Canis lupus familiaris: one gene and its partners. The protein of the gene in region 4 interacts with the protein of the main gene of each other region in a pairwise test. Links are inferred from orthologs where the notes say so. Each region holds a gene or a part of one and is shown on either strand. Other genes may lie near its edges.

Region 1 (4,455 bases), on a different chromosome or scaffold from region 4:
GAATTTACCTATAAAGTTTACCAAGGATCCGACGGGCATGATGGGCACAAAACGCCTCTCGACTACCTGCTTAACCGCTCCACAAACAGGCAGAATGTTTCTAGTTTTGTGGAAAAAAAAAAAAATAAATCACCTGACGCCACCTCTGAATCCTCCTCCCGATATCCTTACCCTGTACTGTGTCCTCTACTGTCCCCTAACTGCTTAAGCATTTACTAACTTCGCTTTAGTATGCCTCCCTGCAAGAGCATCACCTGAGCGCAGGGAACTTCGGTCTTGGTCATCCCTGACCTCTCAGCACTTAAAATCAGCGCCTCGAAGAAAATATATGTACAACGAGTATTGGTCCCTTTAAACATCTAGGTGAAGACCCGCAGGGGAACAAAAGCAGCAACTTCTTCGGTTTAGAGAGAAAGCCAGGACACCGGGCTCCTCACATCTCTCCGTCAACTCGGGACTAGCCTTGGGTGGGGACACGGACCAGACCCAAACCAGGCCAGTGCTATCTATCGCTCTTTCGGCTCAAAGAGCCATTCACTCGGCCTTCCAGCAGTCCTTCCGTGGAAACCATGAGCCTGCGGACTCGGGGGCTTAGAGGCCGGGAGGGAAGTGAGCGCAAGCCCCGACCTGCCGCTACCTTGAGGATCTCGCGACCACCCACGGCCAGCGCCACATGCCGGCTCTGCAGGCCGCACTGGATGTCCTGGGCGCGAGTGCCAGGCGGCACCTGAACTTCAATAAACACCTCCTCCAAGGTCTGGTACCACTGGCCCCACGGCGTCCCGCACGGAACCACCCCACTGCGCTCCTCAAACGGGGCCGACATACTCCGGGAGCCTTCCAGCTGCAGCCGCACGGAGCGAGACGAGCGCACGCGCGAGCTCCCCGCGCTCAGGCCACGCCCCGACTCTCCGCTCAGGTCACTGCACATGCGCAGGGACGTCAGCCGAGGTCTCCGCGAGCTCCTTTCTCCTTTCCAGTGGCCGTTTACGACGCTGGCAGTGCCCAGGTTGAAAGAACCGAAATCCGGGGAAGCTGACACCCAAGGGACGGTGGGAGAAAGTTGGAACTAGCGAAACTAGAACTCACTGCCCTGCCGCCTTTATGACGCCAGAAGCGGGCCTGCCAACTTCTCAGACGTGAAATGCGCTTGCGCAAAGGAGGCGAGCGTGTAAGTTACAATTGAGTAACGCCAGGAACGATTGGACACGGGTTGGGCAATAATAGTCTCCTATTGGCTGGTGACCTAAACTCACAGGAGCCCTGATTGGATGCGACCAGGCCAGGTGCGCATGCTCTTTAGTCGTTCGCGTCCTGGATTGGTGCGCCCAAAACTTTGGTTTTCAAATCTGCTGACGTTAGAGGTGGGCCGTGGGTAAGCCGGGAGGTTTGAATTTGGAGCGATTAGGCCGAAATAAGCAGCCAGGAGTTGCGGAGGAGAGCTAGTGACCTTCGGTTTGTGGAGCTGGTCATCAACATGTCTTTTCCTAAGGCGCCCCTGAAACGATTCAATGACCCTTCCGGTGCGTACGGGGAAAGGAGTTGGGGGTCGGGATATGTTGTCACGCACCTTGCCGCTCTCGAGTCCCTTCCTCGGAGGCTAATCGGAGATTTTAGGGCTGCGATGGGTCTCATTCAATTGATTATTTTCCTAGAATCTATACTAAGCATTTACTTCCCTAGCACCATTCAGATAAGGGTAGAGCAGTGAATGAAGCGAAGTCTCTGCCCCATCGAGTTCACTACATTCAGCTGGAGAACACAGCCAATGAACGAGTGCTGTGGGGAAACTAAGGCAGAGAGAAGGAAGTGGGGATAAGGAAACTATTGGTAGCTATTTGATGGTCAAGTCCGGAAGGCCCCACTGATTAAAAAAAAAAAAAAATTGACCAAGTTTTTCGTATGAACTTGTGAATTTCTTTTGGATATTCCATTCAGGAATAAAAGAAGGATAATTGGTAAAGGCAATTTATGGGTAAAATTATGGTAGTAGCATACTTACTGAAAACATAATGAAGTAATGACACGTAGAACCCCAATCACCGTATTAAGTATTTACATTGATTATTCTTTTTTAATTACCCAACATCCCTGAGAGGTAATCCTATTATTATTTTATTGATAAAAAGATTGAGACATAGATTTGCTCAGTGTTACACAACCAAGTTAGCAGAACTGGGACATAAAATCAGGCCTTCGTGAACCCATCCTGTGAACTTAGTCGCTGTGATGCATAAGCACACTAACCAGGAAGACGCAGATATGGTTAGTGAGGCACACTCATCATTCAGTGGATGCAAACTGTATGCAGGGACTGTGCTAAGGTCTTTTCTGTTCTACCTGGTTAACTCTTTCCAAGTGAGAAAGGATTGATATTGTCCTCGTTTTACATATGAGGAAACAGAGGGGTTTTGTAACTTCTGAGCAGCCAGTAATTGGTAGGGCTGAACATCAAAGCCCATGATTTATTCATTTTAATATACTCTTTATAAAAGGCACTTGTTGGCATCTTTAACTTGTCAGCCAACATGCAAATAGAAATAAGAATCACTCTGCTCACAAAGGAAGGCCAAGTGAGCAAATGGGTCAGCACAAGCTTCTTCCTTTTTTTTTTTTTTTTTTTTTTTTACAAGCTTATTTTCTTAATTGAAAGATCGGGAATATACTGTTTCCTGGATATTCAAAGAATCTTCTCTAAATTCTCTCAGCAGTATGTCTTTTAAGGAGAATTCTGTTTTCTTTATAGTAGATTAAACTGACTTTACCAACTCACAATTTCAGAAGTAATAATTATTACTTTATTTGATGCTCGAGTGACACTGTAGTGATTTCTCCTATTACTCCAGTAATCCCAACAGCTATGAGGTGGATACTTTTTTTAATTTCTGTTTCATAAGGAAAATTAGCCTCAAATAAAAATAAATTGCCAGGGGTCTTAAAGCTAGATTAGAAAAGGAGAGAGTATAATGTTCTTACCATCTTCTGACTAAAAAGTACTTGGCACATAGTAATGTCTATTGGTTAGCATTTAAAGCTGGATTTGAACCCTGATTGAGGAATTATAAAACTCTATCCCCATTCCCACATTCCCAGTGACTTTCTATGTTTTCTTCACCGCACTGTCAAACTCAACCCTGAGCTAAATACTGGGGTTATGAACATGATCTAGAGAGACCTAACCACAAGCAGTTTTGTCTAACATGGAATATGGATAATTACAAAACTGACAGGTTCTCTGATAAGAACACTACTCACAAGCTACTACAAAGAGAGGTTTTCAACCTAATTTGAGGACTCAGAGAAAACTGGAAAAGGCTGAGTAAGAATTAGTCAGGCAAAATGGAAGATGGACTGTCCATTCTGGGTAGAAGAAATAGGAAATAAAGAAATCTGATAGGTAGCTCAGTCAACTAAGCATCTGCCTTCAGCTCAGGTCATGACCTCGGTGTCCCGGGATCAAACCCCGCATTAGGCTACCTGCTAAGTAAGCAGTCTGCTTCTCCCTCTGCACCTCCATTCTGCTTGTGCTCTCGCTCAGTCTATCTCTCAAATAAATAAAATCCTTAAAAAACTATTTTAAAAAGATCCAAAAGTTTGAAGCGTTTAATGAAATGCATAGACTGTTTTGTTTGTTTAAAATTATTAACTACCTGTTAGCTACCAGTCATTGTTGATCAAGAAAGAAGTTGCAGAAAACTTGCGATAACTCCCAGGACATCTCATTCCATTCTTCTGATGTTCCGTCTCCCCAGATTTCTAACAAGTCATATGTATGTGTGATATAGTACATTTAAGTGTTCGTAAGGAAAAGATCTGGAGCATGAAAATAACATGTACTAACTACACTCTCACAAAGAGTTAATAGATTAATACAGGCTGGATTTCTACCTAGTTCTTGAATCTAAATCCTAAATCTAACAATCAAGTTTGATTGTTTAGGGAAGTTTTTGTTAAGTATGGTTTTAATTGTTCTCAACTCATGATGCTGCTCAGTCACTGTCCACCATCCCATCTTTTGCTTGCCCATATTTCCTTTTCAGAGTGTACACATAGTCATGAACCAGAACATAAGAATTCAACATCATTTTATTTTCTGGCCACTCTGACAAGTCTAAACTGGTGCTTCTCATGCTTTTCCATAGAAGCATTCCTAAAAGCAGAGAACTAAGTGCCTGTCTGGCTTGGTTGGTAGAACATGTGACTCTTGATCTCAGGATTGTGAGGTCAACCCCCATGTTAGGCCTAGAGTTTACCTTTAAATAATAATAATTAAAAGCAGAGAGCAAAGAATAACCATAGGCTCTGCATGCCCTCATCCCCTCTTCCCCAAAAAGGCATAGCTAACAGTATGGTGGAAGTCTCTTGTTTGCTTTAAAACATGTCCCCCTCTACCTCTCCCAGCTCCTATCCCAATGAGTAAAAGTATGTGCTCTAAACTGGGTGTTATCATCCTAT
Region 2 (3,937 bases), on a different chromosome or scaffold from region 4:
ACCATAAGACCTAAATCTTAACCCATATTTCCATGATCTCCACACAGGGCATGGTGTTCAGTTGACCTTTTAGTTTCTTAATGAGCTTTTCTTGTCTTTCTCTTGGCCTCTCCCTGTAATTCAAAAATTCATCAGAAGCAATCCAACATCCCACATGGGGGAAATAGTTAATATTTCTGAAGAGTTTCAACAGGAAAGCTTTTTATAAGCGAGGCTAACCAATCAGCCAAATTTAAAGCTGCACACATCATGTGATCTCAGCTATTTATAGGGAAAAGTGCATAGAATAAAGATGTTATGAGTAAAACGTTTTATAAAACTCATAATCATTCCTTCAATATATATTACTTTTCTCTTTTATCTTCACAGTATCATTTCTGAGTACACTAAAATTCATACAGTTCTTTGTGGAGTAAGCAATAAGATATTCTCACCTCTGTGAGGTTTTAGTTCTGAGGTTGGGTTTTTCAATGTAAGAATGTAATTTTCAGTAGGGACATTAGATCGTTTTCTTTAAAGAGGAGAAATTACACTGTTGGTCTAAATGGTGGAAGGGAGCACTTGAGGTTTCACACACACACACCCCATCTTCTTGTCCCTGCAGTCCCAAGCAGCGGCACCAACGGAGTCAGTATCCCAGCAGACTGCACGGGGGCCATGACAGCAACATCACCTGACAACCCTGCACGGAGAAGTCCCTCTGACGAGGTGCGAGCACTTGAGGTGTTTCTGTGCTGGGCAGGGAGCACCTGAAACTTCTCGGAGCTTTACTGAGTGTGTAGACAAGTTACCTGCTCAGAGCAGTGCCTGGGTAGGCCTGTGTTAAGGCTTTCTGTATTTGCTCAGTGGTGTGCATGTGCAACTGCAGCTGATGTCCATAGTTGCTAGAATGCCAAGGATGGTCTGTCCGCAGTTCCAGAGTTCTGTCTGGGTTCCAGAGGCCAGACCCAGCACCTCCCTGTACAAGTGGCCAGCTGGCCTCTGGGCCTGGCCTCTGGGGGGGCGGGGGTCCTTGGAGCCACAGGAATGGCTTTCATTGATGAGATAGTGTGCCCTTTTACATGGAAAGCTGTCTCCCCTCCCTGTTTCCACACCTGAACAACACGGGGGTTCGCATAGGTGGGCCCATTCTAGCTGAAGAAATCAGCTCAGAACATTGATTGATTGATTGATTGATTGATTGATTGATAGGCAGACACAGCAAAGTCTGGGGTTCTGGGTTTCTATAGGCCAAGAGCATGTGTTTTCTAGTGGTATTGCCCGGCAACTGAAAAATGAGGAGCATGTACCAAAGAGCCTGCATTTGCGGGTGGCAGAGGTGAATCTGAAATGCAAGTTGCAGCACCACACCAAGGCTTCCATTCACAAAGCCAGATTGCATGTGTGTGTTTATTTCGACTGGGCTGTTTTGGCAGCTGAGCTGCTGCCTGAGTTCTGGCCCCTCCACCTCCCCCACACACCCCCCATAGTTGCTGGAGAGCAAATGGTGAAATCGATCGTCTACAATTCATTTTTAAAACATCCCTGAGCAACCCCCGCTCCTTCAGACCACAATTAGCAGAATTAAAATTAGGAGCCATCTTTGCAACCTGCTGCTGCTTGGAGACTTGGATAGCTAGGGCGGCTAGCGCAGCAGGGCTGTGAGCTGGAGGGAGTCTGGGAAGCTGCCTGGCCCGCCCACCTCCGGCGTCCCCGGGGAGTCAAGGACAGGCCACACCCGGGCGGCAGCAGCCCCCCGGGGACCTGAGCCAGAGGAGACCCCTTGAGCAGACGGAACTGCGAGAGATGGCCCACCTTGCTTCTTGGGGCTAACCTGTCACTTCTTTTCAGTTGTTGTCTTGTTTTTGTTTCAAACTAGGAGAAAGAGCCCCAGAAAAATGAGTCTAGCGATACTTGTGAGGAGGAGAACTGTGAGAAAAGAGAGCAAGTTGCGCAGCAGGCGTTTGTGTTCGGGCAGAACCTGAGGGACCGAGTCAAGGTGTGTGGATCAGAGGCCCGGATGGGTGCTCGCACTCCGGGGTCGGTCTCTTCTGCCTCCTCCAGTTCAACCACAGGACCTCCGCTTCTCCCTTCAGGGGGCGGGAGGTGGAGGTGGCATAGCCGCAGGCTTGTCCCTGACTGCTGGCATGGCCTCCCTGCTGCACTGCTCAGCTCCCGGCGTGCTCCCTGGAGGCCTCCCTTGTTCTCCCAGTCGCCGGGGATGGGACGAAACCGAGCGTGCCTCTCCTTGGAAACCAACATTTTCGTAGCAAAGGGGACAGCACCATCCGATGCTTTCGACGTCACTGGAGAGCTTGTCATTGCCTAACTTGGGAGCTGCTCTGTCTTGGCACAAAGCAACGTTTAGACAAGGTTCATTGTCAGCTGTTGGAGGGCTGGGTATCCTAGGGTACCAGGCAGCATCCCTGGCCCTCCCCCTCCGGGTGCCAGGAGTATGCCCCCACCCCCTGACGCGGCAACCCAAAGTGTCCCCTCATGAGGCTGAGCATTCCCTTTGGGACCAAGTCACCCCTAATTGAGAATCATTACCTTATTTTTTTTAAGGTAGGGCAGATAGAAAAATAACTATTCTGTCCCATACTAAGCAATAGCATCTGTCCCCTCCTGGCTGCCCCCAAGGCCTATTGGTCTAGTCTGGGGACTTTGAGTCAGGGGTAGAGAGCATCTGGCAGGGGCTCTGGGCTCGGGACCCTGTGTGCTGTCACTCTGAGAAGCCAGAATTAGGCAACACTACCTTTCCAGCCACCAGGATAGAGTGTCCCTCTGTGCCGTTTCCAGCAGCTCATCTGGCAGGAGTTCCTTTAGAAGCCTGAGAGACAACATGAGTGGCTGTGTCTGGGGACGTTTGTGGTTGTCACGGCTAGGGTGTAGGTACCACTGCCATCCAGTGGGTGGGAGCAGGGGATGCTGCCCAATACCCCACGGTGTCCAGGGCGGCTTCCCCACAGAGAAAGATCCAGCCCCAATGTCAGTGATGCTGAGAAGGAGAAATCCTGAAATAAAGGAATAAAAAAGTCTCTCCAGCACGTAGAAAACATCAGGTTGTGCCATCTGCCTTCTCCTTTGGTGTTCGCTGTCCAACAGAAACACAAATCCCTAGGGATGAAAAGTAAGCATTGCTGTTGCGTGACTTTAGCCAAAGTAATGAGTCCCTTGGAGGCTGCTCACTCCAGGGAGGAGGAAGCCGGAGAAGGAAGGGCCTTGAGATCCACCTATGCTAGGGGGCAGGGGCCTGGCCTAAACCGCCAGGTCAAGTCTGTTCCTAGAGTCCAGGGGGATGGCTGCCTTGAAATTGGGGCTGAGGCCCTGTCTTACGGAGGCTCAGGGCTCACGTGATCTGTAGTATCACAGTTACATGCCAGCTTCTCAATGGGGGCGATTTCTTGGCACCCTGAACCCCTGCTTTCTCACTCAGTAGGTCGAGGTTGATAATACCTCTCAGGGTTCCTGGGAGTATCACATTCGATGATAGATTCAACAGAGCTGGCACAGCAGTTAGCAAGCATTAAAAAAAAGCCCTCAAGAAACGATGTTTTTATTATATTTATAATAAACCCCTTAAAATGCCAGATTTGGAAGCATTCTGTGGCCTCTCATTACAAGCATTGGTGAAAAGGGGAACAAGATGTCAATTGAGGGATTTATTTTTTTAAACAAGGTAGAAAAAGTTCCCTGATGCCTTACAAACTCTTTTTCTATCTTAACCATTAAAAGCAGAAATGGCAAAGTTGATTACAGCGCGTGCCCCCCCCCCGGTGTACGCACGTGCACATGCACACACACACACGAGCTGTGCCATAGGCCCTGGGGTATGCAGACAGGCTGAGCTGTTGAGGTCCCGAACAGGCGTTGTCTGGGCAGTAAGTGTCGCCTCTCTGTTTCCCAGTTAACAAATGAGAACACTGAAGTAGCTGACATGGAGAATGCCGGACATCCC
Region 3 (3,937 bases), on a different chromosome or scaffold from region 4:
TGCTCTTCCTTCCCCAGTTTCTGACATGGGACGGTCAGAAGGCAAGTGCTGTGTTGCGTGGTGTGGGTTGGAGAATACCCTTCCTGCCACCCCCGCAGCCCCAGCCCAGCCCCAGCTCCATGCTGCTCGCTGGGAAAGCGCAGTGGGGTAGATAAAATACTAGATGGCCAGGCTGGCCTTGCTCAGCACTGAGGTTCTTGTGCTGTGGTTTTTTCATCGACACCTGTGTTCCTCCAGGATTTGCTTGTCCTTTTAATGCTGTCTGCTTAGCTGAGTCTTTGTGGTTTCTTTCACCTTGACCCTTTCTTTCCCCCACATAAGCCGTCCGCCTTCTCCTCCCTTTCCCACCACTTCTCCCCAGAGAGTAATTTGTTTTGTACGCCGAACCCTGTCTGAGAAGCCGCACTCGGTCCTGCCCGTCTGCTCTGCTGCGTCTCCCCTCTGCTCTTGATTTCAGGGAGTGGGTTCTGGGCCGTGTGGCAGGGTTTCCAAGGGCGGTTGGCAGGCAGGCGAGGCCCTAAGTGCATTCCCTTGGGAAGCCTCCTGTCTGGGCTGCGGGTCCGGACACTTGAACTTCTCCCTGGCATTGGCCACCTTCCTGTCTGCAGACTACACTTTGCCTACCTGCCAGTGCCCCCCCCCTCATACCCCACCCCTGCCCTGGGGGAAGATGTCAAGTTTTTTTCCTTGAATTTAATGGAAATTGTATTTGCTAAGATTCACTGTTGGTAAAATAGCTCTCAGACCTTTGAATCTGACTTACTGTTTTCTCTCAACATCATCTTGTGTGTTACGTTTTTCAGATAGCAGATAATTTGGTAAACAGGAATTATTTTCAGTGTAATCGCACTTTCAAATAAATCTTATATTTTCTTGTGCCTCCGAAAATTAGTCCTGTAGCGATGCCTGTTATAAAGTCATTGTGACACTCTGAGGATAGCACGTCGCATCATAAGCACTATATGTGTGTTGCTGTTAGTGAATTTTGAAGTTGTTATTGCGTGCATAGATCACCTAGACTCGGTCACTGTCTCTTGCACCCCACCCCCTCATTGATCCATCTAGAACAAGGGACCGCACACCATCTTTTGGGTATTTGGTAAATAGTTTACTGGACTTTGTAGATAGCATCCCTCTTCCTTCTAGAAATTTCTTAAAAGATACTTCTTAGTCCTGCTCTCCTCTGATGCTTAAGCAAAATGGGAACTTAGTATCTGTAGGCAGCTTAATCAGTCGTGGGAACCGCAACTCAATGGCAATAGTGCCGGCTGTCCGTGTTTTCCAACGTCACTACCTCATTTACTCCTTATACTATTTATGGATGCTGTTATGTAATATGGGGAATCTCAGAGACTTAATGCCACTTGTGATCATGGTGTCCGTTCCATTCTGTCTGGGGCAGTGGGAGTGAGAGTCAGGGCTGCCTCTGCACTGGACCCTGGAGCCCCTACAGTGCCCCTCGCTCTCTTGTGGCGCCCCTGCCCCTTTCCTCTCTCATTCCCTCATCGGTAAGAAGAAGGGTTTGGACCAGATTATGTGGAGCTCGAGAGTTTTAAAAACCCACACTGACTCTTCTTGTTGCTTTGGAAGGAAGGGCTAGACCAGTACCATCCAATAAAAATAGAATGTAAGCCACTTACGTAATTTTAAAATCACCAGTAGCTACATTACAAGAAAAGGTGAAATTAATTTTAATAATAAAGTTTTATTTAGCCCAATAAATCTGACATTGTTTCAACATATAATCAGCATAAAAAAAGATTATCTTACTTTTTTTTGTTTGTTCTGCTACATCTTTGAAATCCAGAGTGTACTTTTATACTTCCAGCACATCTTCATTTGGGCTGGCCACACTTCCAATCCTCAGTAGCCATGTGACTGTTGGCTGCCATCTGGGGCGGCGTGGGTCTTTCTGGAACACCTGGAGTCTCATGACCCGCTCGTGTCCAGAGGAGCCTCGGCCTACATCCTCAGCCAGCCTTTTCATTCTGTGGCTGGAATTTAGAAAGCAGGGACCCACAGGAGATCACCCGAACTTGGGTCTTTTGTAAGACTTGATTTTCTCAAATAACGTTCCCCCCTCGGTCTGAAAGTGACTCTGTTGATGCTTTAAGACGCGTTCTGCGTGAAGTTTCGAGAAGTCCCCCCAGAGGGTGTTCGGGAGGCCTGGCTGCTTCTGAGCGACTGCAGGCAAACACTGAGAGGATGCAGTTTTCCATGATGTGAGGGAACAGTATCAGCTTAACCTTCCATTACCCAGAGCCAGGGTTGGGAGGGGAAGGGAATTTCTTATGGGTATGGAAAATTAAGAAATAAATCAAGCAATAAATCAAGACTTTGTCTTTGTCTTTTCATTTAGTGGAATAGAAGATGAACTCAACTGAATTCAGTGAAGATGTAGAAGAAGGTAAAAAAAAAAGCTTCTTTTTAAAAAGTAATTTTAATTTAATATTTTTTATTAGGTCATACACGATATGGTTAAAAAATATAAAAAGTTACGGAGTGAAAAATCAATAGAAAGCCTCTTCTCACGCTTGCTTCCCATCCCCCTCTGCCCGTACTTACCTGCTGTAAATGTCTTATGTATCTTTCCAGAGTTACTTTTTTTAAAGTATCATTTAAAAGATAGTATTTGTTTCTTTCTCTCCATCTCCTGTCTTTCCCCCAAAAAAGACCTTAAAACCAGTTTTGACCAAAAAGTTCTTGCAGGGTCGTTTTACTGTCTAGCACTAACACGGTCAGATAAACATCGCTAGGTTGGAAAGTGCAGTTGTAATGTGACTAGACTCTATTTTCTGAGTGATAGTGTCACAGGGCAGCCCGCAAGTACCCCCCGCTCCGGGAACCCTGCTAATCTCCGAGCGGCCCAGTGGTCTTTCCCACTGAGCCCTATTTCTTCTCTGCCACAGTTCTAAAAAATAACACTGTGAAAGTGGAGACAGAGGCCGAAGATGCTGCCCTGGACTGCTCAGTGAGTTCCAGGTCTTCCGAGAAGCACCCTCTGGACAGCGTCTTCACTGCCCTCCAGGATTCCAGCAAGCGAAAGCAGCCGGGTGGCGATGGCCAGCCTGACTCTGTCCCCAGCGTGAAGAGGCGGCGGCTGATTCCCGAGGTGAGGGCCCAGCCCCTTCCGCCGTTTGCTTGGGCTCTGACCCTCAGATGCGCTCTCTCTCTCTCTCTCTCTACTTGTGGGCATCTAGGCGACTGCTAAACCCTTGGGCACGAGAAAGCTTTCATTTCAGCTGTCCCATCCTTGGCTTAAATTTCTAGAAGGTGTCTTTTCTAGCTAGAATTCTTATATATGTCTGGATTCATTATGGGACTAGGGGAGTCTGCACAGTGCAACCTGCTTTTGAGTTCTTTGTTTTGCTTTGCTCCACTTGCTAGGAAGGACTGTTAAGAAAGGCCTACTGCATTTTACACAGTACACACTGTACACAGATTCCTGGAAAAGTTGAGGGTTGGGAGGTCTTTTCCTGAATCAAGCCCATCTTTTATATTAGGAGAACTTGTTCAGTGAATCTTTTTGTAAACAGAATTCTTTTTTTTTTCTTTAAAGATTTTATTTATTTATTCATGAGAAACAGAGAGAGAGAGAGAGAGGCAGAGACACAGGCAGAGGAAGAAGCAGGCTGCATGCATGGAGCCCCAGGTCTCCAGGATCACGCCCCGGACTGAAGGCGGTGCTAAACCGCTGAGCCACCCGGGCTGCCCAGCAGAATTCTTTTGTAACATACCTGTTACTCCCTAGCCTATACTTTTATGTATGAATTTACTTTATTTTTCTCATCACCTGCTGGTTACATTGAACTTGACTAAATTTCTTTTTTAAAAAAGAAAACGATTTATTTATTTGAGAGAGAGAGCATGTGCGCTTGCATGCACGAGCAGGAAGGATAGAGGAAAGGGGAGAGAGAATCCTAAGCTGAGCATGGAG
Region 4 (4,392 bases):
GTCTAATCTCATTTTATAGGCTGGAGAGCTTAATAACTTGCTTGAAGTCACACACAGACTTCAAGCAGATATGAGGTTTGAAAACACAGAATCCAATTCTTTTTTTTTTATGGTGAAAATAGTTGTCATTTAATTTAGCTTATGATTTAAAAAGGTAAATACCATTGGTTATTTTACATATATAATCTGGTCTTGGAAAATTTTACACGAAAAGGAGAATCTTCCAATATAAAATTAAAATGTAATCTTGAGCAGTAAAAACAATATGGTTGTTCTGCAGCACCAAAGAAGACAAAACTCCAGATCCAAAAGCCTCAGAGAACTTTGACAAATATGACCCATGAGAGATGTAGGATGACCTAGAATCCAAGTCTTTTAAAACAATCTAAAACGATTGTTTTTCAAGCAATTACAACGCCACAGACACAGTTCTGAGCATTTTACACTGTATTCTCATACAAGTCCTAAGGAGTCTTTATCACTATTATTTTCATTTTCTATTTCACAAATGAGGAAGTGCCCAATTCAGAGAGCACTTGCCTTCTTTTAATAATTAAATATAATCTCGAATTTTTCTAAGTGCATGAATCTTCTCCACATCTAGGCAAGTAAGTTCCACAGGGGCAGCGATCACGTCTTTTGTAGCTGCATTCACATTGGTCAGTAAATAAACATATGGGTAAAAGGATTGGCGTGCGCTGTATTTGGAGAATTTGCTCCAATCTTGACACTTTAAGTACAAAGGATCTGAGTAACGACAACAACTCAAATCCTTACAATAAGTGGATGCAGAAGCGTCCTGATCTCACAGTCCTGACGCTCATTAAACCCCAGTTGCCTGGTCCGGCATGTTGCAATTGACAAAGCTGAACCTCAAAAGCCAGATTTGGGTTCTGTCCTTAAACTCCAGGGAGGAGCCAACTCTGAAGGTCCGCGCAGGATCCGAGCCCCTTAAGTGGGTGGTTACTGTTCCTTCGGACCCGGGTTTGGTTTGTTTTTTGCTGACATTTCGGCTAGGCTGCGTCTGGGTGGCGAGACCCCAAGTCTCCGTCAGGTGGCCCAGGTGGGAGCGGGGGTCCAGCCCCACCCCTCTTCGGGTGTGGGCGGAACTCTGGACGCACTCCGCCCCGCACAAAGATGGCGCAGGGTCCGCGCTGGGCCAATAGGGAGTGGCGTTGCTCCCGGTTGCCGGGGTAACAGCCAATGGGCAGCGGGAATTGCGCCCGGTGCGGCCGCCAGGGATGGCGGCGTCAAGTGGGGCAGGCGCTGGTGGAGGTGGCGGAGAGGCTGGTGGCCGCGGCGAGCCCGGCGGAGCTGTGGTCGCGGCCGCTGGAGCCCCGCGTCGGGGCGTGACCGTCATCCCGAAAGGCGGAGCTCAGGTTGGCCGGCAGCGCAGGAGGGAGGGCGCCCGGAGAGTGCGGTCGGTGAGGAAGACTGAGGACCAGGTCCCCGTCCCAAGATGACTGGGGATCGTGACTCCGTCCAGGATGCGCTGACCAGAGGGCGGGGCCGGTGGGGTGCGGCCCCCGGGCCTCGGGTCTCTGCAGCTGGGGCCGAGGCCGGGGAGAGCCCGCCGTACCCGGCCTGGCTAGCGGGTGGCTGGGGGCTGCGTCCCGCGCGGATGGCAGACCCGCGTGAGCAGACACCTGGCCGGGCGCTGGAGCAGAGCTCGGGCGGAGAGCAGGATCAGTGTTGGGATGCGAGAACGGGATGGGAGGAAATGCTGTTAGTTGGGTCTCGGGCTTTGTTTGGCCTGGGCCCGCCCCTCACACTCCCACACCATGAACCTGATGCCTCAATTAGTGGGTGGTGGCACCCCTGCTGGGTCGTATCTCCAAACTGCTTAGGTATCCGGAGGAGTAACTCGACTTTATTAGAACCCCGTCCGGGCATTTCCTTTTTCATGAAATAGGATAATATCATGGCAGTCCCCATCACCCTCAAGTCTTTTGTAATTTTTTTTTTTTTTTAATTCATGAGAGACAGAGACACAGAGACATAGGCAGAGGGAGAAGAAGGCTCCCTGCGGGGATCCCCTTGCGGGACTCGATTCCAGGACCCCGAGATCACGACCTGAGCCGAAGGCAGACGCTCAACCACTGAGCCACCCAGCCGCTCCTCCTTTGTAAATTTTTAATCTTTTTTCTGGTGTCAGAATTTTCTTCCCACTTTCTCCAATCTAATTGTCCCACAGTCTTCCTAAGTAAGACCCTTATCTATATAAGACTGATGAATCACTGACCTCTGCCTCTGAAACCAGTAATACATTAGATGTTAATTAATTGAATTTAAATAAAATAAACAAAAAAGACCTATATCTAGTAGCAATACTTTTTTTAAAAAAAACTTTTCGAGTTCAAGGAAGATTTACAGTAAAAAGGCTTGTAGTGTTATAAGAAAAGCAGTTATTCCAAGCTAAAAAAAAAAATATTTTTTTAAAAAGAATGTGTGACTTTTCTTCTAGGTTTCTTAGGTTCTAAGTCTAATTTTTGTTCATCAAAGTCTTCCTTTTCTTCTCTTTAGGATTCTAAAAGCCTAAGACTGCTTTCTTTGTAATTAAGAGAACTTTGACAAGAAGGTCATACTCTGGGGAGGCTTTGGAGGAACAATGTAAAGGTATATGTGGGAAAAGCTGGCTGCCTCAAAACAATATTCTTAAAGTGAAAATCTGTTCCTCTTTATGTTAGCTTTGTTGTTGTTGTTGTTGTTTTTAATCCTCTGAATTTGGACACAAAATCCTGTGAATGCATAAATATTTTTTAACAAGTTTGATTTCTAAACTCTGAAAAAAAAAGACAAATGGAATTGAAACAAAAGTTAACATTACTGTCTCCAAGTTCTATTTGGAAATGTCTGGGTCAGGAGAAAATAAAGAGAACTGGGATGTTCAGTTCTCTTTGTGCAGACAAATAGTATACTTATTTCACGAACAAAATAGTCATTTTCTTTTAGATAAATGTTTGGATTGATCCTTTGCAACCTATCTATCAAAAGAGCAGAAAGGGTGGGTATCTGCTTAGAAGCATGATTCTCTTTTGGTTTTGTGACTTGATTCCATATATATAGCTGAAGCCTAAACTTCATCAACACTGGCTATACCATATTAAACTAATTTATCTCAATGAGCATGATTTCTTTTGGGGTCATTGGCTTTGTAGCTGACTATTACATAGCATGGCTAATTATAGAAGTCGTAAATGAACATCCCAACACTGTCCCAGGCTGTGACGGTATCAATTATTTGGACATAGGTAGAAGTTTCTAGTCCAATGTGTTCACCAATGGCCTGAGACCCACAGAGTCCATGTGTATCCTTTTATTTATTTTTTTAAACATTTTTAAAGATTATTTATTTATTTATTCATAGAGATGCAGAGAGAGAGAGAGGCAGAGACACAGGCAGAGGGAGAAGCAGGCTCCATGCAAAGAGCCTGAGGTGGGACTCAATCCAGGGTCTCCAGGATCACGCCCTGGGCTGCAGGCGGCGCTAAACCGCTGTGCCACCAGGGCTGCCCCATGTGTATCCTTTTAGTTAGCATTTCCGATTGTGTTCTTGGGAATGGACATCATTTTGACCAGCAGCCGTTGAAGGGACTTTTCTCTGTCTCCCTAGATAAAAAAAGGAATGGGAACATCCTTTTGAAAAACAAATGAGAGAGGATGGTGGCAGGGTTAGGTGTAGAGATGATGTTCCAGTTACTATAGGCATATAACATATTACCCCAACCTTAACTTAAAACAACATTATGATGTTTGCAAATTTTGTGAGTCAGGAATTTGTAGAGGGCATCATGGAGATGACTACACTCTGCTGCATGATACTTTAGATGGGATGCCCACACAGTGGCTAGGAGCTAGAATCATCTGAAGGCTCCTTTGCCACAGCTGGTGCCTAGGCTGGGCTGATTCAAGGATGAGAACTGCCAACTGGAGCACCAACACGTGGCTCTTTGTGGCTCAGCTTCCGCACAGCATGGCAACCTCAGAGGATAGACTTCTTCTAGGGTGGCTCAGGTCTCCCAAGTGCAAGTGTACCAGTGGGCAAGAGGGAAGATGCATCACCTTTTCTGGCCTGACCTCAGAACATGCCATCTCTTCCACCATGTTCTATTGGTTGAAGCAATCACAAGCCTGCGCAGATTCAAAGAAGAGGAGTTAGAGTCCCCCTTTTGATGGAGCAGTGGCAAGGTCAAATTCTAGAACACGTAATACAGGGGATACTAATGCAAATGTCTTTGGAAAATACAATATGCCACAGTTGGTAATTAGAGGAAGATCTTTTCAGTTTCATTGGCATCTTTAAAAAATTTAGGTTATATTCCCTCAGAGCTCATAGCATGCCAAAAGGGTGGCTACGTTTATAGTTTGAGAGGCTGGCTAGTACTTTGTCTA
Region 5 (4,694 bases), on a different chromosome or scaffold from region 4:
CGAGAAAAATGAGACCAAACTGGGTAAACGGGGATCCCTGGGTGGCGCAGCGGTTTGGCGCCTGCCTTTGGCCCAGGGCGCGATCCTGGAGACCCGGGATCGAATCCCACGTCGGGCTCCCGGTGCATGGAGCCTGCTTCTCCCTCTGCCTGTGTCTCTGCCTCTCTCTCTCTCTATGTGACTATCATAAATAAAAAAAAAAAAAAAAAAAAAAAAAAAAAAAAAAAAAAAAAAACTGGGTAAACGACTTTCTTAAAATTATGCAAAGGGGAAAATGCTGGTCTCCTGACTTCACTGCATTCCCTCTACAGTATAGCTGCTATTATTTTTCAAGCAACTCCTCCAGTTGAGTCAAATGTCATTTCAAGGGGCAAGAAATTACTTAAGTGACACAGGGATATTTTTCAGGGAATGCTTACACTTGCAGGAGTCTCAACCATCCATCCCATTCCCAACACCCTGTTGCACACAGCACTACTGCTACAGCAGCGACTCGAGTTTTTCTCCCAAGTGGTCTTCTTGTACCCCTTGGGTCCTCTTCCCTCTCATCTTCTTTTTTTTGTTTGTTTGTTTTTGTTTTTAAGCCCCTACCTTTCCCCCCACAACATACAAAACAAAAACTCGTTCAAATCATTTTAATAACCTCGATCTGATCCAAGATGTGAAACGATTCTGATTAGTTCCCTTAAGAGGGATGCTACCATGATTGCTTCACAGGAGCGGGCTCGAAGGCAACGAGGACACCGGATTCCCAAGCGCAAGGGTGCCGAGGAGCCTTCACGGCTCACAGTTTGAAGAGGCTGGTTTCGGAAAGTCCCTGAGGAGTAGCAGGAGGGACACGAGAGCTAAGGGGCCTCAGAGCACGGGGCGCGGCTGCTGGGTCATCAGCACCTTGAAGCGTTTCTTGACGGTGATTCGGTGACGGGAGTACTTGTCATCTGGGGAGAAGCGAGCGGGATGCGCTGAACAGGTCTGCTGTCCCATAGGGTCAAGCTTCTGCCCGAAGAAAAAAGAAAATTTCAGTACAGGAATGGCGGGAAAACCCGCCCGAGAGCGTCGACAGGGAGGCGGAGGTAGGGGACGGGAGGAAGCTGCGCAGAGACGGGTGAACCAGAGGCAGGGGCCGGGCGCCCACACCGACAGCCGCACCCTCCTTCCAGCGCTCGAGGTTTCGGGCTTCCCAGGCCCCTCACCCCCGGCAACCGGGGGCGTCTCGCCGCTCCTCCAGCCTGCTGGTCCACAGGACTATTTACCACCTGCTTTCTCGTCTCACCTTAAGCGTATAGACCCGGTCTCCCTGCTCGTTGAGGTAATACTGGAGAAACATGACCACGCGGCACACGCGACTCCCAACGCCGTCCGGCTCCCGCGGAGAGGGTGTCACGTGTTCGTCAAAGTCCTTCCGGTAAGGCCGGTAGTCTCTCTCGAGGCATGCCGGGAAGTGTAGTCCATTCCGGCCTTTCTCCCGCTGACCAGGAGGGGGCGAAGGAGTGCGGGATTTGGCCCAGTTGCAACCCAGTTGCAACCTTGCAGGCGTCGGCTTCCAGTTGCAATTTTGCGGGCGCTCTGAGACACGTGGAGTGTGCCCACTGTGTGCAAGACGCTGCTAGGAGCTAGAGGGGGGTAGGAATGAATATGGCTTGAACATCGATGCACAGAGTCCTGCCTCTACTCGCGATGCGCACCCATTTCACAGGCAGTGGGTTTCTGGGGCCTGTAGAAACAAAGGCTCCGGGATTCCGAGCCCCTTTATCTTAGGGTAGAAAGAAGAAAGTTTTCTTCCCTCCCCTCTTTTCCATCCGGTTCCCCCGTCCTATTTTAAAGTATTGGCGGTAAAGAGTGCATGATGGGTATTCAATATTAGGCACAGCGAAGAGGGCGTGAAGTTATTTTATGAAACTGGTGAAGTATATTTCAGTGGTCGAACCGAGATTTAAACTCAGGTCTCTTTGCCACAAATCCAGCGCTCTTTCTTATAGTGGTGAGTAACAATAATAGCATAATACGATGCACCTCCTAGGGTTATTTCGAATTTTTAAAAGAACGTAGAAATTCTCTTTATAGGACTCTGATTTCTTTAGGACAATGGGAGCCCAGTTATCATTACAAAGATTGTTGTTGCAGTGTTATTTACAATGGTAAAAGCATTGGAACATTTGTTAATTTTAATTTTGTTAATTTTGATTTTCTCGATTAATTTTATAACCGAGAAAAGCCTGAAAGGGTTTTTCTTTTCTTTCTTTCTTCCTTCCTTCCTTCCTTCCTTCTTTTCTTTTCTTTTCTTTTCTTTTTCTTTTTTTAGAATATAGTCTGTATTTATTTGTAGTTGCATAAAATATCTCTGTAAGGATTCACAGGAAACATATTATTGGTTTTCTCTGGAATAAAGAACTTGGTTCCAAAAAGAAAGAGGGAGGGAGAGAGAGAAGGAGAGAGAGAGATAGAGAGAAATCAGTTCCAGAGGAAAGAAGTGGGAAGGACACTTGCTGTATATTCCATTTTGCATAGTTTGACTTTAGAACCATGCTGATTTATTTCCCATTTCAAAAACTAAAATCATTTAACAGAACTTTTAAACAACAAAATAATTTAACAAAAAAAGACTTTTTGGTTTTGGAATTTCAGGCTGAATGGCAGTTTTGGATAGAGTGGTGCTTTTCAGCCAAGGGTAAGCTGAACCTTCTGTGGACTGCAGGGCTGATGGTCGTGGACTGTCAGGGACTGCAGGACAGCTTTGTAAGGACATGTGCCACAGCCAGATGCCCAGGGTTTCTTTTTTTTCTTTTTTTAATTCTTATTTATTTATGAGAGTCACACAGAGAGAGAGAGAGAGAGAGAGAGAGGCAGAGACACAGGCAGAGGGAGATGCAGGCTCCATGCACCGGAAGCCCAACGTGGGATTCGATCCCGGGTCTCCAGGATCACGCCCTGGGCCAAAGGCAGGCGCCAAACCACTGCACCACCCAGGGATCCCTGCCCAGGGTTTCTGAGATAATCCTAGTTTCAAACATTCCATTTATTTGATCCTTAGATACACAGACGATATGCTCTGAATTTGGTTTAGAAAATATAGGCAAAAAAAAAAAAAGAAAGAAAATATAGGCAATGTTGAATTTAGTTAAGGGTCTGCCACAACCTATTCATAGGAAGTCGGGTACAGAACTGGGTAGGATTGAAAGGCACAAAACTGTATATATTGGTGAAGAAACGTATAGGTAATCCAGATGTAAAGCTGTATTGTTGGGAATCAAAAAGAATTTATAAATTGCCCAAAAAAAACACAATGAACAATCAAGTTGCTCTAGTCTGGCTTGGGGGGCACTCCTGGTTACCACCTGCGTCCCAGAGCCCTTTGGAACCTCTCTACCTGTGCCCCCCTCCCCTCCCCCACTGCAGAATGCCTTGAGTCCTAGATTCTAATTCCATTCTGATCTGGTCTTTATCTTCCCTTCCTTGGATCCCTGTATCTACTGGGGTCAGGTTGCCCTCTGGGTCCTGGACCCGACTGTCTCATTCTGGAGGCTTCCGGACAGCCACAGTTAGTGTCCACACCTGAGAGGATGGCTTCGGATGGAGGTAAGTCTGCCAGCAGTGGGGAAGGTCCTGACGATCTGCTCATGTCCTTGGGGATTCAGATTTGACACTTTACCCAGGGACCAGCTTTTGGGGCTGACCTCGAGGGATGTAAGAGCGCTAGAGCCCTGCAAAGCCCTCTGTCTTGGGGAGGCTGGGGAAGGAGACTGTGCCATTACCATGGAGATTAGGGGATGAAGAGGGCCTCCCTGGAGGCAGATCGAAGCCCCTCAGAGGAAGGTGCTAGAGTGTAGGAAAGGAATGGCAGTTAGAAACTTGTTTCTTGGAAGAGGAATCTCTCCAACGTGTGTTTGTGTGGCAGGGGCAGGGCCGTGTGCGGCACAAGTACTGCAGGGAGGGTTCAAGGGGAAGGTCCAAATCCCCATTTCTTTGGGCAACTGGAGCCTGCTCTAGAATGATGCCCTGAGAGCACTGGGCTGGAGCCAGTCTCGATCTTGTCGAGTGGGGTGGGTGGAGATGTTAGCTGCAAAACTGTTCCCCGGGTCATCTGTTGCCTCATCTGTAGAGCAATGTCCTCCCAAAAGTGAGACTGGAAGGTACCAGATGGGCCTCTGCTCAGAGTCTCGTGGCTCCTTTTCACCCTGGTGATGGCTCTCTTGCAGTTGTGGGGCAGCTTCCCTTGCCCTCCCAGGCCTGGAGACCTAGATATCTCCAACCACAGTGAGAGCTGGGGCTTCCCTGAGATGCTCTTGGCTTTTCAGGCCTTTAGTCCTGTTTTGCATTGTGGAGAACTCCCAGGCTTCTGCTCTGTGATCAGGGTGATGAGTTGTCCCCTTCATGGTCAGGGAGTGGATGCTCAGTGTGGTTAGTTTGTCCGGGGAATGTTCTTTAGTAGAGGGGCAGAACACTTGTATGAAATTGGGCAAATCACTTGTAACATGGTGAAAAATCTCAAGATTCATGTCCTGAGGAATCACGTACACATCTTATGTATGTGCCCTTGGGTTCTTAGGCCAGAGTCCACGTGGGTCCCCAGCACACACTGTGGTTAGGACTTCACTGTCCCTCCTTCACAGTGGACCCTAAATTTCTGCTCTTAGGCGTCCGAGCAGAAGGACTGCAGACAGCCTGCATCACCAGACTGTAACATGTCCTGCAGC
Region 6 (4,365 bases), on a different chromosome or scaffold from region 4:
TTCTCTTGTGCATATACTCTTGTCACAGCTGAAAAGGATGGAAAGAAGTTGGCATGATTATTCCCATTTTGTAGGTGAGGACTCTGAGGCTCCAAGAGGACTACTAACTTATCTGCTCAGGATCATGCAGATTTGCGGGGGGGGTGGGGGGGGTCTGACTCTGCAAAATGCAAAGCTACTGATTCCAAATTGCTGTTCTTTCCACCAAACTGAACTGTGTTCATGTCGTTCTGCTGGATGAACTACTCACCGAGATGGCTATCCATTTATAATCACTTCGGATCCCAGGGCTACCATAACGGAGCTCATGAAGCAGCCTTACAAATGTGAGTCTCACATGCCAGGTTGTTGAAAGAACTGTGCAGCTTTTTGGCACCCCCACCAAGCCCTGAAGTAAGGGTAACCTGAGTGGTATCCACCGTCGTCCTAGTGGCAACCACATCTATCTTGTAAAGAGAAGTAGCAAAGACTCAGGAGGCCACTCAAAAAACAACTTTGGTTGGACCTGTATTTCCAAGTAAGAGAGAAAATAATCATACAAGAAAGCAGTTTACATGATGAGCAAAGCATCTTCCAGGCAACACATAGCCTCAAAAGTGTTCTTTCCTCCACACTAAGCCCCGAGGGTCTGAGAGTGCTCCCCAACGCAGCAGCATGGGGCATTATATCTTAAGAGGTTAGGGACGCGTTTGGACTGAGACTAGACCCAAGCTCAAGCCTCAGCTCTGCCATGTCCTAAGTATTTGAGCTGAGGCAAAATAGCTCATCCTTCAGCCTCTGTTTCATCATCTATAAAATGGGAGAATAATTGTACCTGTGGCAAAGGACTGTCGTGACAGTTAGATGCGCCGATGCATACAGGCAGCACGCTAGGTATGCAAAGTGCTTGCTTACAGACATAGTAAGCGATTCATAAAATCAGTTTTTAGTGCTCTTTGCCAGAGTCTTCCTTCTACTGAGCTCCTGCTGTTCCCCCTGAAATGCTCTCTATTAGGGACTCTGTTCAGAGGGCAGCTCATCAGCAGACCTTCCCTGGCCACCGCACTCAGAGCAGCTCGTATCCTCCCTCCTTGCTTTAGGCTTTCCATGGCACAGATCACTCCCACATGCCATATCATATATTCGTATGTTTACTTGTTTATTGTCTGTTTCCATTAGAACGCCAGCCCCATGATGATGGCACCTGTATTGGGTTCACTCCTGAAGTCTCAGTGCCTAGAGCAGGGTCTGCCGTGTGGAGGGGACCAAGACCTATGTACGTGATGAAGGCAGGTGAGTAGAACACATCTCTTCTGAATAGATTGTGATTCCATACTGTGGTGCAACCTAAAACCAGATGCAGGAGCAGTTGTATATCTGGGACAAGCCTCCTGCAGAGTGCCTGAGAAGGCCTGAGCCACTGAGGTGCTGAGCTGTGCTCTAGTGAGCCCTGCAGCCCTGGAGTGTAAAGCAATCACCGTGCCAGGCTGCAGGGGATCGGAACCGGCTCAGCCATTTTCTTTGCTCCGAAAGTTATAGCCTGAAGTGACTGCCAGGGGAGCTCCCTTCCCTGGTATGCTTCTCTTCCTCTTCTTCCTCCTCCTCCTCCTCCTCCTCCTCCTCCTCCTCCTCCTCCTCCTCCTCCATGCCCTCCCTGGGGATTCATGACTGGGAGTGCAACTTCCTCAGGGACAAAAAAGCATGTCTTAAAAGTAACCTGTGGCAATGGATAGTTCACTGCTTTTAAACTCACAAATTATTTTTTCACTGCAGTACACAGCTCAGATCATGATTTTCACTAAGTAAAAGCAAAAATGGGTTTTGCTCTTGGCTCTCCCTGGTTGCCGCTGAGGTGCAGCCACCTGTTTTCCTGATGCTAGGGCCCCAGGGATGGCACCTAGTGGGGAGAGGTAAGGGGGCCACGTGGACAAAGAGCTGCCTCCTTAATGCTGCTGCCGCCTGGGGAAGGCTGGAGTAATGAGGGTCAGTGGGCATTAAACATTCCGGCATTGCCTCTCCAAGGTTTCACGTTTCCCATGAAGGTCCAGGTAGAGAGTGCATTGGACGTGATAAGGCACCTCAGAACTACTAGTGGAGATTGATTTTTTGAGACTCCTCAAAAGGGCATGGAGTTTTTCCTAAAGTTCAAGGCACTTTCAGAGATTGTTGATAAGCAGATGTGTGCTTCCCAAAGCCTGCATAGAGCAGAGGCATCAAGCTAGAGGAAAGAATTAGATAAAATAACAAGTAGCAAAAAGGAGAGCATGCTTCATGAACTCTAGCTTGATCTTACTAGCAGATTCTAGAAGTTGCCTTTGGTCCTTATCTGTGAATTGTTGTCTATGACGTAGACACTGTTTTTCCGTGTTAATATATATGCTAATGTAACTATATACAATAACTCCTGGATAGGGCACGTAAATGAATGCAGTCATTAAGAACTATATTACCTCGGGCACCTGGGTGATGTAGTTGTTAAGGGTCCCACTTTTCATTTCGGCTCAGGTTGTGATCTTAGGGTTGTGGGATCAAGCCCTCTGTTGGGTTCCATACTCAGCGTGGAGTCTGCTTGAGACTCTCTCTTCCTCTGCCTCTGTCCTCCCCACTGTTCTCTCTCTTTCTCTAAAATAAATAAATAAATCTTTTTTTTTTTTTTTTAATGAACTAGATTACCCCAAATCATGCATTTGGGTGCAGGTAAAACCCAAATTATCATGATGATGTAAGGTAGGCCCAGAAATGTGCAGTACAAGTGTTTTTCCTTAGCCATTTCATGGAAAATCACAAGTCTGTGGCCCACGGGACAAATCTAGCTGGATGTCCTGGGTGATGTTCAGGTCTCTGGCTGTGGATGGGCTGCTGCTTCTTTTTCTTCTATTGATTTATTGTAGCCCCTAACTTGGAGTGTTTCTTAAATAAACATAGCTTTTATTGAAGAAAACATCTATCTGGGATTTCCTGGGCAATTGTGCCAGAAGAGTGGGCTTTTTCTGGATGACTATACTCTCTTATGTATGGACAAATACAGCTATGGACAAGTATAGCTCCCACCATGGAAAATTAGGATACTGGAACTATTGTCCTAAGCCCTGGAGCTTGAAGAGCCCGATTCATGCCTCAGATGCTGGTCCTCACTAGACTGGGTAGGCAGACATCTGTGACCACCAGGACTGAAGCCTAGCAAGCAGATGGAAGAGTGTATGGAAGATCTACACATTATGACTTTCATTCCCAAACAACTGCTGGTGGGGGGAAGCTTTTCTTCCCACAGAGGAAATAGCAGCTCCTACTTTGTGCCCCCACTGAATCCAATTGTTACTTCTGACATGTCACCTGCAACATATTATACTGATTTCCACCACCCCTGCCACCTATACTGCCCTCCATCTAATGTCTTCTTGAGGACCCAAGGGTTCCCTGAGCCTGGCACAGTGCCTGGAACATAGTGCTCAATAAAAGGTGGTTCACTTATTTGACTGAGGACCCTTCTCCCTGAAGGAGGCAGGGAGTATTTATATGCACAGGGATAGCCCCTGCCTTACAGTAAAATACAGACAAATGCATGATGGAAGGCCAGGTGTGTAAAGAACTCTGACATGGTAGCTTAGATCCAGAATCCTTACAGAAATCTCTTTATCCAACCCCAAGGGTCAGGATGGCTCAAGTAGCTGGGATTCAGTTGAGCCAGAATGATGGAGTGTTTGTTCCTCTTCTGCATGGTCCTCCATAGAATCCTTGGAGACAGAAACTTAGTTCTGCGTCTCAGCCCATTGATAGCAAGTTCACCTTTGACAGTGATTTAAAATCCCTCAAGACTCAGATTATGTCCAGCTGCTAACCCTGTGGCAATGCTCCTGGTGTGGAAAGAAGTGCACCCAGTGTTGCAGGTTCGTGGCTTCCTGGGGCTTCCTTGATTAAGGAATGTATGCTAATGGTGGCAAAGAAAGGAATAGTCTTGCAGAAGAAAGACAGAGTGCCTTGGAGCCTGAGTAGCAACCAAGTTTCTTTTATTATGGGACTTCTTGTCCGGTCAGCTTCAGGACCTGTGAAGGCTGTTACTTTGTGAGATCAGAGGCTCTGCATTTGAACTAAGGAGGATCCTAGGAGGAGGAGAAGCCTGGCCCAGAGGCACTGAGTGCAAGGCATAGTGCTCCAAAAACCAGGCCTTTCCTAACCTGAAGCCAGGATCCAGAGCCTCTTCTCTAATGGCTCTGAGACTTACATTTGGTTACTCCTCCCTGTGGAATTGCCTGCCTGCAAAGAGAAGTGTGTGTGTTGGGAGGAATCCCATCTACACTGTGAGCCAGACTCAGGCCTTCCCTGGAGACGGTTCATGGCCCACAGAGTTTGAGGAATTCCTCCCTAGCAGCGTATCAGCTGCACCGT
Region 7 (3,937 bases), on a different chromosome or scaffold from region 4:
CTGTATCACCAGGGCAGAGAAACAGGTGTTCTGAGTCACTTCCAGTTGTAAATATGTCAGTTCACCAGGGCTGCCCCGCCCCCACTTAAGCAGCCTTGTGACCCTGCTGTCACATGCCAGGCCAGCTGCCTACAGCTTTGTGGTTCTGTTTTTGCACCTGTCTCAGAATTGGGGAAAAGGAGGATGGTGGTGGTGGTGGGGAACCCAAGGAGGACCACTGGAGCCAGTTTTCATTGAATAAGAGCCATTCTAAAGGCAGGGGAAAATAAATAAATAAATAAAGGCAGGGGAATTAACCTGACCATATTTGCAGCTTACAGGAGACATATGAGGCCAAAAGGAATGAGTTCCTAGGGGAGCTCCAGAAAAAAGAAGAGGAGATGAGACAGATGTTCGTCCAGAGAGTCAAAGAGAAAGAAGCTGAACTTAAAGAGGCAGAGAAAGAGGTAAATATGACCCTGACTGTCCAACAGGCAGGAAGACGGGGCTGAGCTTGGGCAGAGCCCCGCAGCTTCCAGGCAGGAATGGGGCAAGGCATCTGCAGCCCTGCCTTGGCTGGTACCAAGGGAAGGCCGCAGCAAGATCTGTGTCTTCTTCATCCCTCATTCCCCAAGGCCAGGCGGTTACTTTATTCTCTAGAGCCACCCTCTCCCAAATGGTAGCCATGCTACTTATATTTAAATGAATTTAAATTAAATAAAATGTAAAACTCAGTCCCCCAGTCCCATTAGCCACATGCTAAGTTGTCCTGCAACTACTGTGTGTCCTATTGGACAGCACAGATATAGAACATTTTCATCACCGTAGAAAGTTCTGTTGGGCAATACTGCTCAAGAGTCAAGACCAGAGTCCGTGGCATGGATATCGGATTTTTTTTTTTCAGTTTCCCTTTCCAAAAGAAAATGCCACCCAGTACGTTTGGAGGAGAGGTGAGAGGATCTCAAAGATAAATGAATGAAAAGCCAATAGACAGAAACTAGGTTAGAGCAACTGACCACCACCGTACCCCAAGGGACTAGTAAAAAGCTGGTCTAGACAGCAGGCCTGTCATCCACCACCCCTTACTAAGTCCCAAATACCTGTAAGACCTGGAGACCTGACCTCCTACATGGTACGCTTTGAGTGCTACGGAATCCTAAATTCTCTCCAGAATCCTCAAAAGAAATACTCAGTATTTGTACTGTTCTCCTTTGGGTGTCTGGTTCTATTCAGGGCTAGCTGAGTCTCCCCTTGGTCAAAGCTGAGGTCTCTGCCCTCATTCCATTTTATAAAACTCTTTTATCTCCTTCCATGTCTGAGGACAAGTATTTCCTTTGACCAGCTTTGGCATTGCTGAGGTTTTCTCTGCAACCCATGGTGATCCTCCTTGACCAGAGGGGGTAAGGAAAGGCAGGGGCCCCACTCACATTGGGCGATCTCGCTATATAATCCTCTAAAGAATGGATTAACCTTGGGCAAATTCCTTAACTTCTCTGACCTCCTGTTTCCTCATAAAACACAGAGAATCACAGAATATTTCTTGATGCTAATTATTAATTACTATTCATTAATAATAGTTCTGTGACTACATTCAAGAGCAGAAATGTGGAGGTGAAGTGACAGGAGAAGGGACTTCCCCAGAACATGGTGCCTTGGTGCCATCGGGGCAGTCCCTGGCAGAAATGTCTCCTCAGGTCCCCCAGTCCTGCAGGATGGCAGCCCTGCCGGTCCCCACTTAACCCTGGGCTTGGCTCCTCAAGGAGCTGTTCCCAGGGGACACTGCTCAGACTCCCTGTGCTCCCCTGCCAGCTGCATGAGAAGTTTGACCGCCTGAAGAAACTACACCAGGACGAGAAGAAGAAGCTGGAGGATAAGAAGAAATCCCTGGACGATGAAGTGAACGCCTTCAAACAGAGAAAGACAGCAGCTGAGCTGCTCCAGTCCCAGGGCTCGCAGGCTGGAGGCTCACAGACTCTGAAAAGGGACAAAGAAAAGAAAAAGTAAGTGGTAGGCTGCTCTGGGCCTGTGACTCCTTCCTACTCCTGCTCATCCCCTCAGTGCAGGGCCTGGAGACTCCGGTGGAGGCCTCATGCTGAGGGGTAGTGGCCAGAGGTGACCTGTAGACTGACAAATGCATTTCGGTCCCTGTAACTGGTCTTTGTGTCCCCTGAGTTGGGGGAGGTGAGAATAGGGGAGGGTTGTAGTCCCCAGGGGCACAGCCCCTCTGCTTTGCTTTTGGGAAAGCCCTGTAAGCTCTAGGTAGGAGGAGAGGGAGGGATAGAAGACAGGCAAATGGAATGTGGAATGTGGGAGGGGAGCAAGCAAGGAGGAAACCATGAAATCTGTAGTGTTGTAAGAAAGAGGTGAATGAAAAGAGGGACCCTCCCCCCCAGAGGGTAGAGGAGAGAGGGCACCTCAAGCGGAAGCCTCTGGGCACCCTCTTCCTCCCCAAGAGGTTGGTGCTGATCTGGCTCACAGGCCGCCTTGTTTGTCCTGTGTTTGAGGGGTTCACCTCCCCATGCCTGAAGCCCCCCAGCCCCATTTTCTCACTTAGCTGCAGCCCAGTCCAGGTCTCCCACCCTATGCCATCCCTCTCTCTTGGCTGCTTCATTGCTCCTGGCCTGAGGTGCTGAGAGCTTACTGGGGAGCCCCCAGATGGTAGTAGACTCCACGTGCCCCATCCTTAAGCTGGGCAGTGATGGCACAGTCTGTCCCTCTATCTCCCCTGGTGTGTGGTAAGGCAGGAGAGCAGGGGCTCCTGCTTACATGTGGGTCCATAACCCTGAGCTGACTGCAGGCTTTGCTGGCTGGAGCTCCCCATCCATCGTCCCGGAACCAGAGGAGAGGAAAGGATTTCTGGTGGGACCTGGGCAGCGCCAGGAAACTATGCCGGGGTCCCTTATGCTGGAGTTGCTTGTGCTGCGAGACTTGGGGGGCCCTCACATGGAGTGTTGGGCCATGTCCTTACCCAAAGGGCCTGAGGATCCAAAAAGTGCCCGTGGTCGATACCTTTTGTTCTCAGCAACCTGTCCCTGGCTCAGCTGCTGGATATCTGCCAGAAGGAGGGAAACATCCTCCTTTCCTCTGGGCCTGGCTGATCACTTAGGAATGAGACAGTGACTTCTGTACAACAGTACGACAGTTAATATTTGAAGGCACTCGATTTTGCGATCCATTTATTCAAAAGTGTAATTTGAACACGTTCACCCACTAGTCCACAGATTTTTGTTACCGAGTCACCACACTCTGTGTCAGATTCACTCACTCATGACCTTGATTTGGTGTTACCTGATGGATAAAGTTTAACTAGTCAGAAAAAAAAGCCTCTTTGGACATACTGTATATTAACTGATTGGGCCTTGTGTGTTAGTTGCACCTGCAGGAAAGGGTTCCTATTTTTAAGATCAGAAAAACCTAAATTTGTCTCCTCGTTCTAACCTGTTGCCTTCTTGGCCTGTGGTATTTATTAACTCAATCCCTGGGGCAGCCTCACAGCCTGCTTGCAGGAATTAGGAGATTCCTTTGTTTGAACCCCACTGACACTAAACTATAAATATTCCCTACTTAGATGTTCAGTGGAAGTTCCTCCCAGACCAGGCTCTCTCTTAGTTGTCTCACATGAACTGATCTCCCCTCTCCCACTCCAGGCAGAAGACCCTACATAGGGAGACATGTCTCTCCAGTCTCCAGGAATATTTGGGATTGGTGACAGCACCTTTCCCAACTCTGAGATGGGTGAAGGCCTTGCTGGCATGTGGCACCTCATATTAGTGACCAGGTTCTGACAAAATAGACTGTCCTCTTCCTTCCTTCCAGATATATAAATGGCCCCAGGCCTGGGCTGCTTCTGTAATTCCATGAAAAGTTGGCTAACTTCTGGAAAACCTTTCTTTACATCTGTGCCACTCAGGGCCCATGGTGATGATGGCGGGGATAGGTTTTGAGGGCAGAAGTGGGG

The links.
Region 1: the proteins of MORN4 (region 4) and HMMR interact in binary tests that used the Homo sapiens proteins (3 or more experiments, as listed by UniProt). The two-hybrid records come from large-scale screens. The link is inferred for Canis lupus familiaris from reciprocal best matches to the Homo sapiens genes MORN4 and HMMR.
Region 2: the proteins of MORN4 (region 4) and RANBP3 interact in a two-hybrid assay, tested with the Homo sapiens proteins (2 studies listed by BioGRID). The two-hybrid records come from large-scale screens. The link is inferred for Canis lupus familiaris from reciprocal best matches to the Homo sapiens genes MORN4 and RANBP3.
Region 3: the proteins of MORN4 (region 4) and BEND3 interact in binary tests that used the Homo sapiens proteins (3 or more experiments, as listed by UniProt). The two-hybrid records come from large-scale screens. The link is inferred for Canis lupus familiaris from reciprocal best matches to the Homo sapiens genes MORN4 and BEND3.
Region 5: the proteins of MORN4 (region 4) and NUTM1 interact in binary tests that used the Homo sapiens proteins (3 or more experiments, as listed by UniProt). The two-hybrid records come from large-scale screens. The link is inferred for Canis lupus familiaris from reciprocal best matches to the Homo sapiens genes MORN4 and NUTM1.
Region 6: the proteins of MORN4 (region 4) and SSX2IP interact in binary tests that used the Homo sapiens proteins (3 or more experiments, as listed by UniProt). The two-hybrid records come from large-scale screens. The link is inferred for Canis lupus familiaris from reciprocal best matches to the Homo sapiens genes MORN4 and SSX2IP.
Region 7: the proteins of MORN4 (region 4) and SEPTIN6 interact in binary tests that used the Homo sapiens proteins (3 or more experiments, as listed by UniProt). The two-hybrid records come from large-scale screens. The link is inferred for Canis lupus familiaris from reciprocal best matches to the Homo sapiens genes MORN4 and SEPTIN6.

The regions. Positions count from the first base shown.
Region 1 is NC_049225.1:48,676,079-48,680,533, reverse strand, and holds the start of HMMR (hyaluronan mediated motility receptor), read left to right. Parts: upstream 1-1,319; 5' UTR 1,320-1,477; coding exon 1,478-1,523; intron 1,524-4,455. Other genes in the region: NUDCD2 (nudC domain-containing protein 2), read right to left, coding at 638-931. UniProt on the Homo sapiens protein: Receptor for hyaluronic acid (HA). Involved in cell motility. When hyaluronan binds to HMMR, the phosphorylation of a number of proteins, including PTK2/FAK1 occurs.
Region 2 is NC_049241.1:54,560,951-54,564,887, forward strand, and holds part of RANBP3 (ran-binding protein 3), read left to right. Parts: intron 1-604; coding exon 605-708; intron 709-1,858; coding exon 1,859-1,978; intron 1,979-3,886; coding exon 3,887-3,937. UniProt on the Homo sapiens protein: Acts as a cofactor for XPO1/CRM1-mediated nuclear export, perhaps as export complex scaffolding protein. Bound to XPO1/CRM1, stabilizes the XPO1/CRM1-cargo interaction. In the absence of Ran-bound GTP prevents binding of XPO1/CRM1 to the nuclear pore complex.
Region 3 is NC_049233.1:64,643,039-64,646,975, reverse strand, and holds part of BEND3 (BEN domain-containing protein 3), read left to right. Parts: intron 1-2,359; 5' UTR 2,360-2,370; coding exon 2,371-2,407; intron 2,408-2,909; coding exon 2,910-3,112; intron 3,113-3,937. UniProt on the Homo sapiens protein: Transcriptional repressor which associates with the NoRC (nucleolar remodeling complex) complex and plays a key role in repressing rDNA transcription.
Region 4 is NC_049249.1:11,068,900-11,073,291, reverse strand, and holds the start of MORN4 (MORN repeat-containing protein 4), read left to right. Parts: upstream 1-1,212; 5' UTR 1,213-1,379; intron 1,380-1,405; exon of another isoform or gene 1,406-1,424; intron 1,425-2,523; exon of another isoform or gene 2,524-2,616; intron 2,617-4,392. UniProt on the Homo sapiens protein: Plays a role in promoting axonal degeneration following neuronal injury by toxic insult or trauma.
Region 5 is NC_049251.1:1,034,547-1,039,240, reverse strand, and holds the start of NUTM1 (NUT family member 1), read left to right. Parts: upstream 1-1,784; 5' UTR 1,785-1,893; coding exon 1,894-1,981; intron 1,982-3,480; coding exon 3,481-3,576; intron 3,577-4,694. Other genes in the region: NOP10 (H/ACA ribonucleoprotein complex subunit 3), read right to left, coding at 856-996, 1,274-1,327. UniProt on the Homo sapiens protein: Plays a role in the regulation of proliferation. Regulates TERT expression by modulating SP1 binding to TERT promoter binding sites.
Region 6 is NC_049227.1:63,688,510-63,692,874, forward strand, and holds the start of SSX2IP (afadin- and alpha-actinin-binding protein), read left to right. Parts: upstream 1-1,183; 5' UTR 1,184-1,272; intron 1,273-4,365. UniProt on the Homo sapiens protein: Belongs to an adhesion system, which plays a role in the organization of homotypic, interneuronal and heterotypic cell-cell adherens junctions (AJs).
Region 7 is NC_049260.1:92,335,020-92,338,956, reverse strand, and holds part of SEPTIN6 (septin-6), read left to right. Parts: intron 1-313; coding exon 314-446; intron 447-1,788; coding exon 1,789-1,979; intron 1,980-3,937. UniProt on the Homo sapiens protein: Filament-forming cytoskeletal GTPase. Required for normal organization of the actin cytoskeleton. Involved in cytokinesis. May play a role in HCV RNA replication.